Linked DNA regions of Lytechinus pictus. The protein of the gene in region 2 interacts with the protein of the main gene of each other region in a pairwise test. Links are inferred from orthologs where the notes say so. Each region holds a gene or a part of one and is shown on either strand. Other genes may lie near its edges. The genes, in order: nuclear receptor subfamily 2 group E member 1-like and B-cell lymphoma/leukemia 11A-like.

What was found.
Region 1: the proteins of B-cell lymphoma/leukemia 11A-like (region 2) and nuclear receptor subfamily 2 group E member 1-like interact in a two-hybrid assay, tested with the Homo sapiens proteins (2 studies listed by BioGRID). The link is inferred for Lytechinus pictus from reciprocal best matches to the Homo sapiens genes BCL11A and NR2E1.

What each region holds. Positions count from the first base shown.
Region 1 is NC_087248.1:12,707,845-12,715,084, reverse strand, and holds the start of nuclear receptor subfamily 2 group E member 1-like, read right to left. Parts: upstream 3,227-7,240; 5' UTR 2,786-3,226; coding exon 2,644-2,785; intron 1-2,643. UniProt on the Homo sapiens protein: Orphan receptor that binds DNA as a monomer to hormone response elements (HRE) containing an extended core motif half-site sequence 5'-AAGGTCA-3' in which the 5' flanking nucleotides participate in determining receptor specificity.
Region 2 is NC_087251.1:19,343,586-19,350,889, forward strand, and holds the start of B-cell lymphoma/leukemia 11A-like, read right to left. Parts: upstream 3,013-7,304; 5' UTR 2,922-3,012; coding exon 804-2,921; 3' UTR 1-803. UniProt on the Homo sapiens protein: Transcription factor. Associated with the BAF SWI/SNF chromatin remodeling complex. Binds to the 5'-TGACCA-3' sequence motif in regulatory regions of target genes, including a distal promoter of the HBG1 hemoglobin subunit gamma-1 gene.

The DNA.
Region 1 (7,240 bases), on a different chromosome or scaffold from region 2:
CTATCCTATTCTATCTATCTATCTATCTATATATCTATCTATCTATCTATCTATCTATCTATCTATCTATCTATCTATCTATCTATCTATCTATCTATCTATCTATCTATCTATCTATCTATCTATCTATCTATCCAATCTACATTATCTATCTATCTATCTATCTATCTATCTATCTATCTACATAATCTGCCCGTCTGTTCGACTTGTTTGAAAAAGAAGAGCTCTTATATTTTAGAGAACACATAGCTCTTTATTTTGCGCATGCTTGATTTACAACTTTAATTTGAATCTACCCTTTTTATGAATATCCCAAAATATATTGATTTATATCATAATTAATAAATCAGATGAAGCACTTTTACCAATAAATAATATCTTTATATATGCCGACTTATTACATAATAGTAATAGATAATAGTAAAAGTACATGAATATTGATCTTTATCATGGTCATTTTAAGTATTTCAAGTACTGTATATCATTTTGTTTTTCCAATTTTCATTTTCATTCATTTCAATTTCCAACAATTACAATATAATTTTTGATTTCGTAAAGCTTGATATAAACAATAAACATATTGCAAAACTCTATACACAGACATGTTAGCAATGGTGGACGCTGCTACAAGCGGAGCTTGTAGAGTGCAGCCTCCTATTAAAAACATTCTTGTAAATAGTATATATTTAAAAAAATCTAGTAAGATAAGATGACAACGAGATGATTTCGGTTCTTTATCTTGCTAGACAAGATTTCTGAGATGAAATCAAGACAGAAAACGCCTCTAACAGCAAAACAAAGTTTGGTGTAAAAGCTGTTCGCCTTTCAACATTCTCTGGTATTCGAGGATTGGTGGCGTCGCATCGTTAGAGTGTGTACACCTGCATAGAATGGTGCCAACCTGGAATCCAGTGGGACCGCGATGTTAATTAAATGTGTGAAATGCAATAAACTCCGGATTAAGAAGCGTTCTGATGCAGAAAGCTAACATGTCTCGTGGTGTTGGTGGCTTCAAATTTAAGGTTATGTTTATTGATGTCTGATAGAAAAGCTATGAGGGCAAAAAAAGTTAACCGTGTGCACTTTGGAGATGTTAGACTCGGAATGTAATCATGGAGATAGATAGGCATACCCAGTAGAATGCGAGTCTGTTGACTGTTAACCTAAAAGGACTATTGTAATAACAGAAACAAACAAATATCAATAAATCGCATTAGGAGAATATATATATATATATATATATATATATATTAAAACGGACACAGAATGAAGTATACGAATACACAGTTAGATAAAGTGGGAAAATGTTCCAAAGTGATTTATATTGTTATTATTTATCATGACTGATACGATCATTGGTTTGTATTGAATATCAAACTAGAAATCAAACACATCTAAATAAACTAATCCAGATTTGAAATAAATGAAAGTATGCATATTTGTCGTTGTAGATTTAGATTTGTTTTCATCGTCCATAAGTATAGAAATACATGTTAGCTTAATGATAAAATATAAATAAATTTGACGACAAATGCAAAATGTTGTTAGCGTCACATTATATTGATAAAAATATAAAGCGTATAGAATCGTGGTCTAATGGTTCTGACTCTCGCCTTTCAAACAAAGGGTCGTGGGTTCGAATCCTAGCCATGGCGTGTTTTCCTTCAGCAAGAAATCTATCCACACTGTGCTGCACTCGACCCAGGTGAGGTGAATGGGTACCCGGCAGGATTAATGCATTGCGTGCACTGAGCGCCGGTGATGGTTGCTCGAGCTAAAGCCGGGGTAATAATAGCAGCGCTTTGTATCCTCAGGAAAAAAGTGCTTTATAAATCCAGCTATCATTATTATTAGAATTAGAATTGACTCTCGGACGAAGAGTTGCGAACACATTCAAATCAAACTCAAATTGTGATTGGCTTTTCGTAGCTGATGGGGAAATTTCTGAGCCGTCCAATTTTTTTTTCACAATCACAACCGTAACGACTGCCACGACTAACTTCAAGATATGATACGATATCTGACACGATCATTACGATTGCTCCACGATTTAGATCACGGGTTCAATCCTGACGCGAATCGCGTCAGTAAGAAATAGGTATTAACTACATAATTATAGATCAATCTCTATTCATTTCTATACAATCTATCGCAACTCTTCGTAAGGCATAAGAGCGGGCTTGTCAGGATAACGTGCTATACAGGGCAGTAGAGGTGGTCTTGCACGATTTCCTAAGAACTTTTCTTTCCTCTCTTTTCTTTACCTTTTTTAACTGATATAGATTCAACAAAGAAATTATTCTGTTTCGGAAAAAAAAAGGAAAGCAAATTAACAAGGCAACAATAGTCAAAACTGACTATAGTTTGCCTATTCAAACAACATTTGTAAGACGGGGTCACGATATCTATTGATATTGTATTTCCTACATTTATAACATAAATATGTTAATTATGCTATTTGAATAGAAAGTGATATTTACATAGAAAATTGATTAGCTTAAAAAAACAAATACTTCGGAGCTGTTCCCAGTTCTGAATCACGTAATGCTTTGAATAAATTTGTTAATCATGATATGTAATTTATATGATATAAAACAGTATGGACCTTTCAAAAAGTATTATTTAAGTATTTCATATACTTACTTATTTTGATTGTATGTCGTTGCTCTGGACGAATAATGCTCGGTGTCGAAATCGATGTCAGTGTGAGTTTAGGCGCCGTCAACCCCGTGGTCGTTGAAAACGAACGATGATGACTATCTTCATCGAAGCTCAGGATGTCCATTTTAATACAAAGTCCAAAAATGATTCAAATCTTTGTGTGTTTTTTTGTTAACAAGAAGGGCGTCTAAACTAATTAACGAGTATACAAAAGGCAAGGCAACTAAGTCAGTACATTTTCTGAATTGAGCAAAAGTTTGAAGAAAGTATGCAATTTTCTCTTCATACGATAAAAAAGCAAATCAAAGTTCCACGTGAAGAAGAAAAACAAAGTTATATAGAGGCATACATCAGTTTTGAAGATTAAAAGATTAAGCTCAACCTTTATCAATGCTTTGGGTTTAATCGGTAAAAGTCTTCTAAAGACAAAACAAGCTCACTTGTAGTCCAAAACTGTTAATAATCTTGATCTTAACCGATCTGCTTGATGGAGAAATATATCCAGAGAGGGCTTTCGACCGGCAAAAGAAAAGGTTTGTCTTTAATTGGTGTACACCGACTATATGAGGCAAGTGCATATACGATCGAATCATTTCCCAGTGACGTCATAATTTATCAAGCAAGCAATGGGAGGATTGGCGGGTTATGATGTATCATTTATTAGAGTGCATAGAACAGGGTAAATCCCCCGAAAGATACAGAGTGTCCAAACAAAATAAAATGTACGCCTTTAGAATGATAATGATAGAAAATAACGATGTCAAAACCTGGTATTGTCATCCTTATCCTTGGGCTAGTCTAAAGGGGCATTCTTGGTAGTCAATCATGATCCACTTTTTGAATAATAACATAAACAAGTAAAAGTTATTTCGAATTGTTTTTCTGTAAACTCAATTATTACACTTATCATTCACATTAAATTTTGGGACGAGAATCGAAATTCTGATAAAGTGATGATAAAAACACAACAAATGGCCGATTACACTTTAGAAATACAGATACCCCCACATAAATGTCTTGCGAGACATAGGCCTATATCAGTACAACTGAACTTTATTTGGATACCTTAGCAACCATGGTAATGAGAACCTATACATCTGACCGGCTTAGACGCGTCTGCGCATGTCCAGTTTTCAGTCTGACTATGGCCCTTTCTCATTACTCCCACTTCTAAATCGAATATTATACTACCACTATACCACTACCGCCGCCATCACTTCTATTATTACTACTACTACTACTACTATACTACCACTACTACTACTACTTCTAACTACTGTTACTACTATTATACTACTTTTTCTCCTGCGGCTCCTTTTCTATATACTACTTCTATTATTGCTATTTCTACTACTACTACTACTACTACTACTACTACTACTACTACTACTACTACTACTACTACTACTACTACTACTACTACTACTACTACTACTACTACTATTTCTACTTCTACACTACTACTACTACTACAACTACTACTACCAAATAAATGAATAGAAATTCGTGGGGGGGGGGGGGGTCCCGTGATCGGCGCCTACGATTACAATCACGTCTAAAGTTATCAATATATTTGTAATAGTTGTAATATGGCCGAACATATTTTTCTTGTGCTAATTCTGTGGGGTTTTTTAAAATTATTGTCTAGTATCTTGACTTAGCCTTTTGTTTTAAAGTATGCTGCGCTTCATTACCAATCACTTTTAGACTGAGAATACACAATACTTTTTGACTTTATAGGTATATAGGTCTTGGGAATTAAATAGACTTCTGCTCGGAGTCATTCCACATCAACTTTTATTATCCCATAACCTAGCTGCTGCTTGACTACCTAATGTTTTATTGAGTGGCATTTATAAGTGAGGTGACGTTAACGAGCGGAAAACATTCAATTATAATTAATTTTTTCGATTTTCCCGACAGCAAAACCCCGTTCATTTCCAATCGAATTGTGTATGGGATTCGTTGATAGAGTTGATGAGTGCTATTGCGTAATGAGCCATTTGGATAACTTAGTAAGCCTAAAGCTGAAAGGCTAAAAAGGTGCGTGAACATCAGATAGATTATAGATCTTTGGGTTAGATATTCTAAAATAACTATTTTGAGTTATGGTGAATGAAGGCAAACCAAACAGTGAACAGATACATACACCTATTCTGTTTGCTTAGCATCAATATATATTTTCTCCTCTTTTTTTGCTCTTTTCTCTTGCTTCTTAGCTACTGCCTCAACCGAATTCTTTGTTTGTTTTTTAACCGATTTTGAAAGTTTGTGTATGTGTGGATATGTATGGATGGCGCGGGGGGGGGGGGGCTTGGCATGCATTACATAAACATTTGAAGGTAATTTCTACGTTTTCATACACTGAAAAAAGGTTTGGGGGGCTGAAGCCCCAGACCCCAGCCAATCTGGGACCCGGGGGCATGAACTTGGCACAATCTGGGCATGCTTGCATGTACAAATAGTAAGCCTATATAATCATGATAATATTGGTCTACTATTTGACAGAGTGGCAAATCACCGCCTTTGGATCAATCGATAAAGGACTGACCAAATTTTGTCAACTTAGGATTTGAATGAAGGCGTATTATAGTGTATATTTTTTTGCAATTTGCTAAAATCATCGATTCACCAAAACTGACCGACATATACGTATAGTTATTTTGTAAAAAAAATCAAGAGACCATTTCATATTCTTTTCTATCTTTATAAAGATCAGACAAATATTTTGCAAAATTTGAAAGTAAATTACCAAAATTATATGAAACTAAGCCCCCCGCAAATATATTAATTCTAATCAGATTTTTAAAAATTCATTATTAGATATTTCATCTTTAAATTAAATGATATAAATGACTAAAAAAACACTGAAAATCCAACCGATAATCGAGAAATTATTTTGTGAAAGAACCGACATGTTGATATCTTCTTTAGATCGCCATAGAGAATATTTGGCCCCGTTCCATAAAACTTTTGATTGCTTTCAAATGCAAAATTTCTATGAACTGTTAATAAATGAATTACAAAAGCCAATCAAACTCCATGATTTGAGTTGTTTTTGTCAGTTTTAACAAGAGGTTCTACGATATTGGGCCTAAAATCTATTGTCCGCTGTGATCAGTAGTTTGATCCGTTAGGAATAAGATTTTGTCTTGGCGGGTGCATGCTCGACTGCCTGTCGTATAGGCCTATCACTAACACTATTTGGGTTTAAATGAAATGAAGCACACCTTAGATGGGCATATATGGATTACGAGAAGGTTATAGCTTTGCGTTATACTTTGAGCCAAAATAAGAGTTTGAATATCATTATGACAATACGAGTCTGAAATTGTGGAGATATATTCACATGGAAATTAATATATTACAGTCAATTTATTTGTGAATATCAAACAATATCCAAAAGCATGAAAAATAAACAAGGAATCGAGAAGTTTCCCTCTGGAATGTATGGGGTGTACGTGTGTATGCAGGGGCGGCATCGGGATGATTTATAGTTACGTGACTCTCTTTTTTAATGTTCTTCTTTAACCCTATTCTTTTCTTCCACATTTTCATTACTTGAAAACAAGCAGGGAGTGTCTTTTCTCTTGAAGCACCACCACTGTGTGAGGGTGTGTGTGTCTGGGCGGTATACGTTTGTACGTGTGAAGGGTGGGGGAGGTCTGCAGCTCAACCCCCCTGAATGCGGGCCCACTGCAAAGCAGTTATCCCCCATCATTCACACAATATTTCAAAATTGTGAAAATGTATCTTACAAATCAAAGAACAATTCACTTCTATTACTGATAAATCAACTCACTGCCCTTATCGATTTTCTTAATGCATGTGGATTCCAGCGGAAAACACAAATCTATAAAAGGCTACTTACTTCCCAGGGAACTACACCAACTGCACAAACAACCGCCTGCATTATGACATCACTATTAACAAGTCGTGTTTAGACGTAAGGTTATAAATATTCGTAATGTATCATCGTCTGAACATCTCGCAATTCTTATTAGGTTCTAGAACTTGTAACAGAAGATTTGCAATAAATCACAACTTGATTTTAAACCAATCAAAAACGCTTATTTTGGACTATTCGTTTGTGTATTGATGTTTCTGCGTTTAACTGTTAAACTCAGCTTTTTTTTCTGAAACAGGTATCTGTGGTTACACAAACATTATAATGATAATGACAAAGAGCTAAAAGTTTTCTTCAATTTTATTCTTAATTCTTCATTTTGTGATAAAACATTATGTTTTGATAGTATTTTTTCTGTATAAATATTTTATTTTAATTAGTAAACCCCATTTTCAGCTCTCATTAATATGTTTAACGTTGCATGCGCACTATTCGATTTGTAAATTTTGGCGCGATTCGAACTCACAGGCTATAATATTTAGCCATAAATAATATGCTTCTAAAGAAAAAATATGAAATTCTGTATTCAGGAACGAACCAACGGCCTATAACTTTAGATAAACTGTATTGATATCGGTGGCGGCACCAGGGGCATGCGGACACATAACCTGTTGCCTTCGCCATCCAGCTCCTGAATTATTGTCAGAAGATGTGTACCAAAGAAAGAGGAGG
Region 2 (7,304 bases):
TTATATTTATCAATATTCCATGATAGTAATATGCAGCCAACGATGTATACATCATACATTCCACTTGAATATTAAGGATCATCAGGCCTGTGTTGCGATAAGCTCGCTTGAAGATGCAAGAACAGGATAAAGAAAGCTATATTTTTGCCTACACTACTTTATACATAAGACCCCTACACCAGGCAGACAGACATGGAATGGATATCTTGTAGCTCCAATTCACTTCATGGAAAGCTCCATTCTCCCACGTAGAAATACATGAAGAGTGGAAATCTTAGGATATTCACAAATGTAGAAAAAACTTGTACATTTCATTATCAACTTATTTTTCTATTTCAGACTCAGATTCTGCAGAAGAAATTATCAAATTTCTATGAAGAAATTTCTTATAAATAATCACTGTATAGCGGTTTTGACTGCCCATAAGTGAACAAAAATATCCCATATCATGTTCAATAGCAAAAGGCTTTTAAAGATAGCATTGAGCATTAATAGGCTGCAAATGTAAGCTTGCTAAAAATGACTTGCCTGTTTTGTAATGAAGACAGTACATGGCTGGCTAAAGAGTTGTCATGTGGGAATTAGAGTGATAATTTGATCACCACTATCCAAGTTGCTAAGAAGCTACTGCAAACTAGGGGTTGTGGAACATTTACAGTTATACTAGACAGACATTTTCACTCCATGGAGTGAATACGACGGGAATCAGCTGCAAGGAAGAACCAGCCTTGAGTGGCTGTTCTCATTCAAGACAGGCAAGTCTTGTAGATTTGAGGTTGTTCTTTTAGAGTGACTACCTCATATCACTTAGACAATCCTGGTAGATTGGCCTTGTAGCTGTACATTCGTGCACCCACCGCGTCGGTACGGGGAGCCAACCCCTTGATGGCCCCCCAATGCTCTTTCTTCATGTGCTTTTCTAGAGTGCTGTAGACAGAGAAGGGCATGTTGCACACCTCACACTTGAAGACTTCTTTTGCACCATGACCATGGGTCTTCATGTGGCGTGTAAGCTTGCTACTCTGAGCACAAGCATATGAACACAGCTGACATTTGTACGGCTTCTCACCAGTGTGTGAACGACGATGGACCGTCAAGTTGCTGCAATTCTTGAACCGCTTGCCACAGAACTCGCAGGTATCGCTCCGTTTCTCCGATGCCCTTTGTGGCTTCATTCTATTGGGAGGACTTGAGTATGGCAGTACGGCGTTGGATGGCATGCCACCGTTGGATTCTATGAAGCGACGCTGAGCAAAGAAAGCAGCTGGACCGCCATTTGTTGTTCCAAGTGGGCTGGCATCCGAGCGGACGGGTGATGACATGAGTGGTTCTCTATGTATTGCTAAAGGAGAAGGTGGCCATGATGTTGATGGTTCCATTTTGATGCGGTTGGTCACCAGTTCCAAGTCAGACATAGCACTACGCTCTACTATACCTTGTGTTAAAGGATGATTACCTTGGAAAAGGGTATGCTCTGCTCGTAGCCTTGCCATCAAACTTGATTCAATGGGACTGTGGTGATCATGTGGTCTGGATGGTGGCCTGCTGTTAGAATTACGTGGATGGTGGTTTTCTGGTGACGATACATCACTCAACGATCGAGGCTTTCCAAAGATTATATTCCGTTCTGCTATGGCCTGCTTAAATGCTTCGCTGTATTGCTGAATTTCATCTAATCCAGAATTGACCATCATCTCACTTAACAATGAAGAATGATGATGTGATAGTCCTTTAGGACTCCCTCTGCTCACATTCCTCACGCGTTCCACATCAGCGCTTGATGGCCTCCTTTCCTTGGATCTTTCCTCTTCAAATTCTTGTTCTGATGATTTGGCTTCACCTTCAGACTTCACAGTTATTTCTTCATTCTCTCTTTCAGGTTCCTTTGGTTTTATATCAACCATGTCTGCCTCATCAGGTTCTTCCTCTTCTTCTTCCTCTTCTTCCTTTTCCTCCTCTTCCTCCTCTTCCTCTTCTTCTTCCTCCTCCATCTCTTCCTCTTCTGGGGAGGAGCTATCACTCATATTCTTTCTATCGCCGGTGCCCATTGATCCCTCTTGCCCTTCTTCCTCATTGCTGTTTTCATCCTTATCATCCATATCTGGAGCGGATCCCATTGCCGATGGTGGTTTATTCATGTGTGTCTTCATGTGTCGCTTTAGCTTGCTGGCTTGACTGCAGGCATGATCACACAGATGACACTTAAAAGGTTTCTCACCTGTATGAGATCTGCGATGGACGACCAAGTTGCTCTGGAACTTGAACGTCTTCCCGCAGAATTCACATGACTTGCCCTTGGACGAGAAAGATGGATACCTGCGGGTCGGATAGCCAGGGTAAGGCAGACGCCTGTGTGGTGAGAGTGGTGGGCTCTTTTTGGCCAACAGCTTCAAGTGGTTTGCAGCACTGGAATCCGTCGGTGGTTGATGTTGATGTTGATGTTGATGTTGCGGTTGAAGGTGTGGTGGCGGTAGGGGTGGCGGTGGAGGGGGGACAAATGGCAGCTGAGTGTGAAAGTCGGCTATGCTGACAGGAGATATATGTGGTGGTAGCTCAGTGATTCTACTCTCTGGAGGAGGCATATGAAAATCCCTCCGGTGCATGTGATTTATATGGGGATAAAGCCTCTCCAACCCAGGTGAATACAGCCTATCTGGGCCCGTTGGACGAATTAAGACTGGAAACGTTGGCGTGTGACCATCTACAGGATGAGAATGTGGACTGTGGACTGGTATAGGAGCCAGTGGAGGGTGAATAATTTGTGGTAAACTGCTCTCTATTGGTTTGGGAATAAGCTGCTTGCTGGTGCTAGATGTTGTGCTCTTGGGTGAGAGGGAGTCCACCTGAGAGACCGACTCCACAGACACAGACCGGGACCTTGAGAAAGGCCTCTCCTCCTTTGGAAATGTGTATATCTGCATTCCATGGTCTTCCTGTGCATGTTTCAGGAGCGTTGCAGCATTCTCAAACAAGCCCTTGCAAGACACACATATGTATTTTTCAGCTGCGTGGGGATCTGCAAAGAGAAATAAAGAATATAGAAAGGAAAATTCATTAAGCATCAAGAATGATTATATTTTAGAGGTAAATTAAATTTATTAAAATCACATACACATAAATAAAAAGGAACAAATCTTAAAGCTAAGAGCAGGGGAGAGGGAGAGAGAATGCAAATGAGAAGGAAGAAACTAGAAATGACAGAAAAGAAGGAGAAATTAAGATAAAATAATAAAAATCTAAGCTTATATCAAAAGATGCATGTAACTAAACCAAAGATAAGTCTTTTATAAAACTGAGAATAGTTAATTCAAATATTTACAGTGGGTGTTAACATGTTTAATATACAGGGCTTAGAAAGAATTCATCAAATAACTATTCGAAAGTATGTCATTGACATTTAATAAATCACAATAACTTAATCAGATGTTCATCTTTACGCAATTCCCTGTGATAAAAATGTAGGTTAGAAATAGATTCTCCCCCTTTACAATCTTAAACCAGCTGCCAATAAATCCTAATCCATAGTGGAAAACTATGATGGGCTGTCAATGCATTCTAATTCAATTCTATGAAAAGTATTATACAGTGCGTCCCAGAAAAAACGAAACCGAGATTTATCGATGATTTATCATAACTTAATCACAAATACAATAGACAAGTTACCTACCATTGTAAAGCTTTGAATCTCCTCTTTCATCTGAAATTAGTTAGATTATTTCTCATTCACGCATGAGTAAGCAAAAAAAAAGCAAAAATTCACCTGGCGGGCTGTATCGAAGTTTCAAAAAGAAAACCACATTTCAAAAAAATTCAATATCTGCTCTTTAATTTGATACCTTAATTACAGAAAATGGTCAAGAAATAACAAAGTTCTGCTTGTTTGAAATAAAGCTTGAATTTCAATGATTTCATAAAATGAAGAGGTTTTACAGGCTAGCATTCACAGTCACTCAACACTCCGTTTTCTTGAGGATCAGCCATGCATTAAGTCTTTTGTTAACCGTGCGATAGCTTCTGTGGGAAACTGGTGAAAACACGTTTATTTAATGAAATTATGGAAATACAAGCATTGATTCAAGGGAACAGAACTTTTTTACTTCTTGACCATTTTCTGTGATTAAGGTATCAAATAAAAGAGCAGATATTGAACTTTTTAGGAATGTGATTTTCTTTTTGAAATTCAGATACCCCCCCGCCAAATGATTTTTTGGTATCCTTTCTTCAAATTGTTTTTGCTCACTCATGCGTAAATGCGGAATAATCTAAGTAATTTCAGATGAAAGAGGAGATTCTAAGCTTTACAATGGTAGGTCACTTGTCTATTGTATTTGTGATTAAGTTATGATAAATCATCCATAAATCTCGGTTTCGTTTTTTGTGGGACGCACTGTATAGAATTTATACACTGGGTGTCATATATGAAGTTATGAAAAAGTTTATTCTATATTTTGAGGCAAAATGAGAGGACAGCTTCATAAATAAATGCAAACTGCAGGCTGTAATGAAAAGCAATAGAAACTTTATGGATGGAAAGAAAAAGGCATAAAATGAGTTGGTTTGGCATTACTGCCAATGGATAATGATATGACACTGTGGGATGTACTAGGATTTGACCGACTCAACATCTTCATGAATATTCTGCATGGCATCCATAACTCTTATTTGCAGACAGAATAATGCATGCATTATACATGTACATATACCTTTTCTCATAAAGGTCCCTCTAGCTTTCTTATGAATAAAAAAAAAACTGCTACTTTCTGTATTTATTTCTTGATAAATTGATGTAATTCTCACATTGTTTCTTTTTTAAATCAGTGCATCCCTAGTTGGGCTCTCAACAACTAATTGATTTGAATTAAAGTAGAAGAATAGAATGAGCACAACACTGATATGTCATCAAAAGTAGAAGTAAATTAAGAAAGTTATGTAATTTTAAATTTGTACTCAATCTCACAAAAAAATGTTGCATACACAATATGACTTTTGGACTTTGCTATTTGAAAATTGAAACATGATATTTCACTATTTTCCCCTTGTAATATATGGTCTGCTTGTTCAGTGAACATGTAAAGAATCACCATTATTGTATGTTATTATTTTTCAACCAACACATCGTTTTATTTCAAATTTTTGAAAAATTGAAATATTCAATATTTTATTAAAAATATACTAAAATCTTAAAAAATAGTGTGTGATGCCATCACTACTTTGCATATCACTATGATTTTTGTGTGCAAATGACTGTTCTGTGAAATTGAGCTAAACCTTAAAATATCATGAAGTCTTCCTAGTTTGAATCTGATTTAAATGAAACTTTTATTCTCATAAGGGAGTGGCTTAATGATTATTTTTTAAGAAATTGGGATTACACATCAATTTCATGTTCAGCATTGTCATCAACATCAATGGCTAGACATAGGCAGGTCAATTAAAAAAAATGAAAGAAAACTTTCACATTATTCGACAGAACAAACATGTTTATATTATGTGAATTTATATTACATAATTTTTAGGATGATGAGTATCAACATAAAATTTTGATAATTTTTTAATCAGTTTATTCTTCATATTTCTTGGCATGCAAATTATATTAAATGATAGGGGAGGGAGAAGGGTCAATTCAAAGAGATCATCTATTCATATAACAACCAGCAATGAAAAAAATTATAGTACAACATCAAATTTTCTTGTCTAAAGTGTATTGTGGTTAAATCTGTGAATCTAGTAGCAATGTAGGTCAAGCGTATGCAAGCCTAATCAGGTCTAAATTCTTCACCAGACATCACGATTCGATTGGTCAAAGTGACCTTGGATATTAGTTCCAAAGCGATGACCATCATCTCTTTTAATTTGACCATCATCTGATCATTACTTCCACAAAAGACAAATCTAATTAATTGCTGACCTAATATTTCTATTCCCCTTTTTCTTCGCATTATACCCCCGAAAGTGTTACATACATGTTCCTGATGTGTTTTTTTATCCCCTCAACCTCCACCTGCCCCCCCCCCCTTCATCGCTATCCACCTATCTCGTTTTCTTGACCTACTTCTTTGAACCATGACTATGAAGGTGTAAAGAATGGCAGTATTAATTCACAGTTATAATTCCCGGTAAGATTGAATTGTGATATTTTGTCACTGAGGTGTGAGTATTAGTATAAAGTTTAGGTTGAAATCAACCAGGTCAGCAAAAGTTCATATGTACCAGTAGAATTAGTACTTGGCTAGACAGGCCTATGTCTGAGACAGCTCATTAAAAAATAAATAATTATAACAATAGGCTGCCATTAGCAGGCATGCAATGCGCTAATTATCATTCAACTCCTTTAAAGCTTTTGGAAATAAATTGTGTATGAAAATGGTTTGTTTCCTCCATGAATTTAAAATTTTACTAATGAAAGGAAATACATTTATACCTCTATTTTCCTGAACTATTTTATCATACCAAACTCTTAAACCTTGCTTGGTGGGACATCAACAAGGCAGCAAAGACTCATGACCCATCAATTTTTTTTTGTCCACCAATCATATTGAATCAAGGATATTAGCTCAATTCTATATAATAAAGTCAAATAAAGTTAACTTTCAGAGAAGTCATAGGTTGAAACACATTTCACAGCCAAACATAACCAAACAATGTGAATCTAAGACATGCATGCATTTCCTTCTGCAGTCATCTTCTATAAGTGACCGACTTTTGGGAACGGTTGAAATGGAGGTCACTCAAACACTGTACTGACCACAGTGACTGGTCGATTGGTCAAAGGCAAAAGATATTGCATGCTATCTGGACAGCTGACACTTAAGTGAATCATAATTATTGATAAATGATGGACTGCGGGTAGAATTCATTGAGATTCACCAGTGCAAGAATAATTAGAAATGCTGATTGCTTGTTAATGGTCAATAAGTTTGTGAATTTTATTTTCTGACCAGCTGCCATTCTTGTTCACATTAGCGAGGGCAAATTGGCCAACCCTGATTGTAATAAAAAAATCAACAATATTTTTTTTTATCTGACGTCATTCACAATGAGGAAAGGGCTTGGTATTTCATGAATCCAACATTTTTTTTTAATTTTCACTCGATTTGGATTCATTTTACAGGGTGTCATTAATATACATTAACAATTTATTAATGCATGGACTGCTTTAAAAGAAAGGAAATGATAATGGGTGAAAAGGTTGAGACAGCATTTTACTTCCTTTTGAAAATATACTGGTGCCATTTAGTTAACTGTACAGACTGAAATATCATCACATTTACAATGTTGTGTAAAGACCTTCAACTTTAGAAACA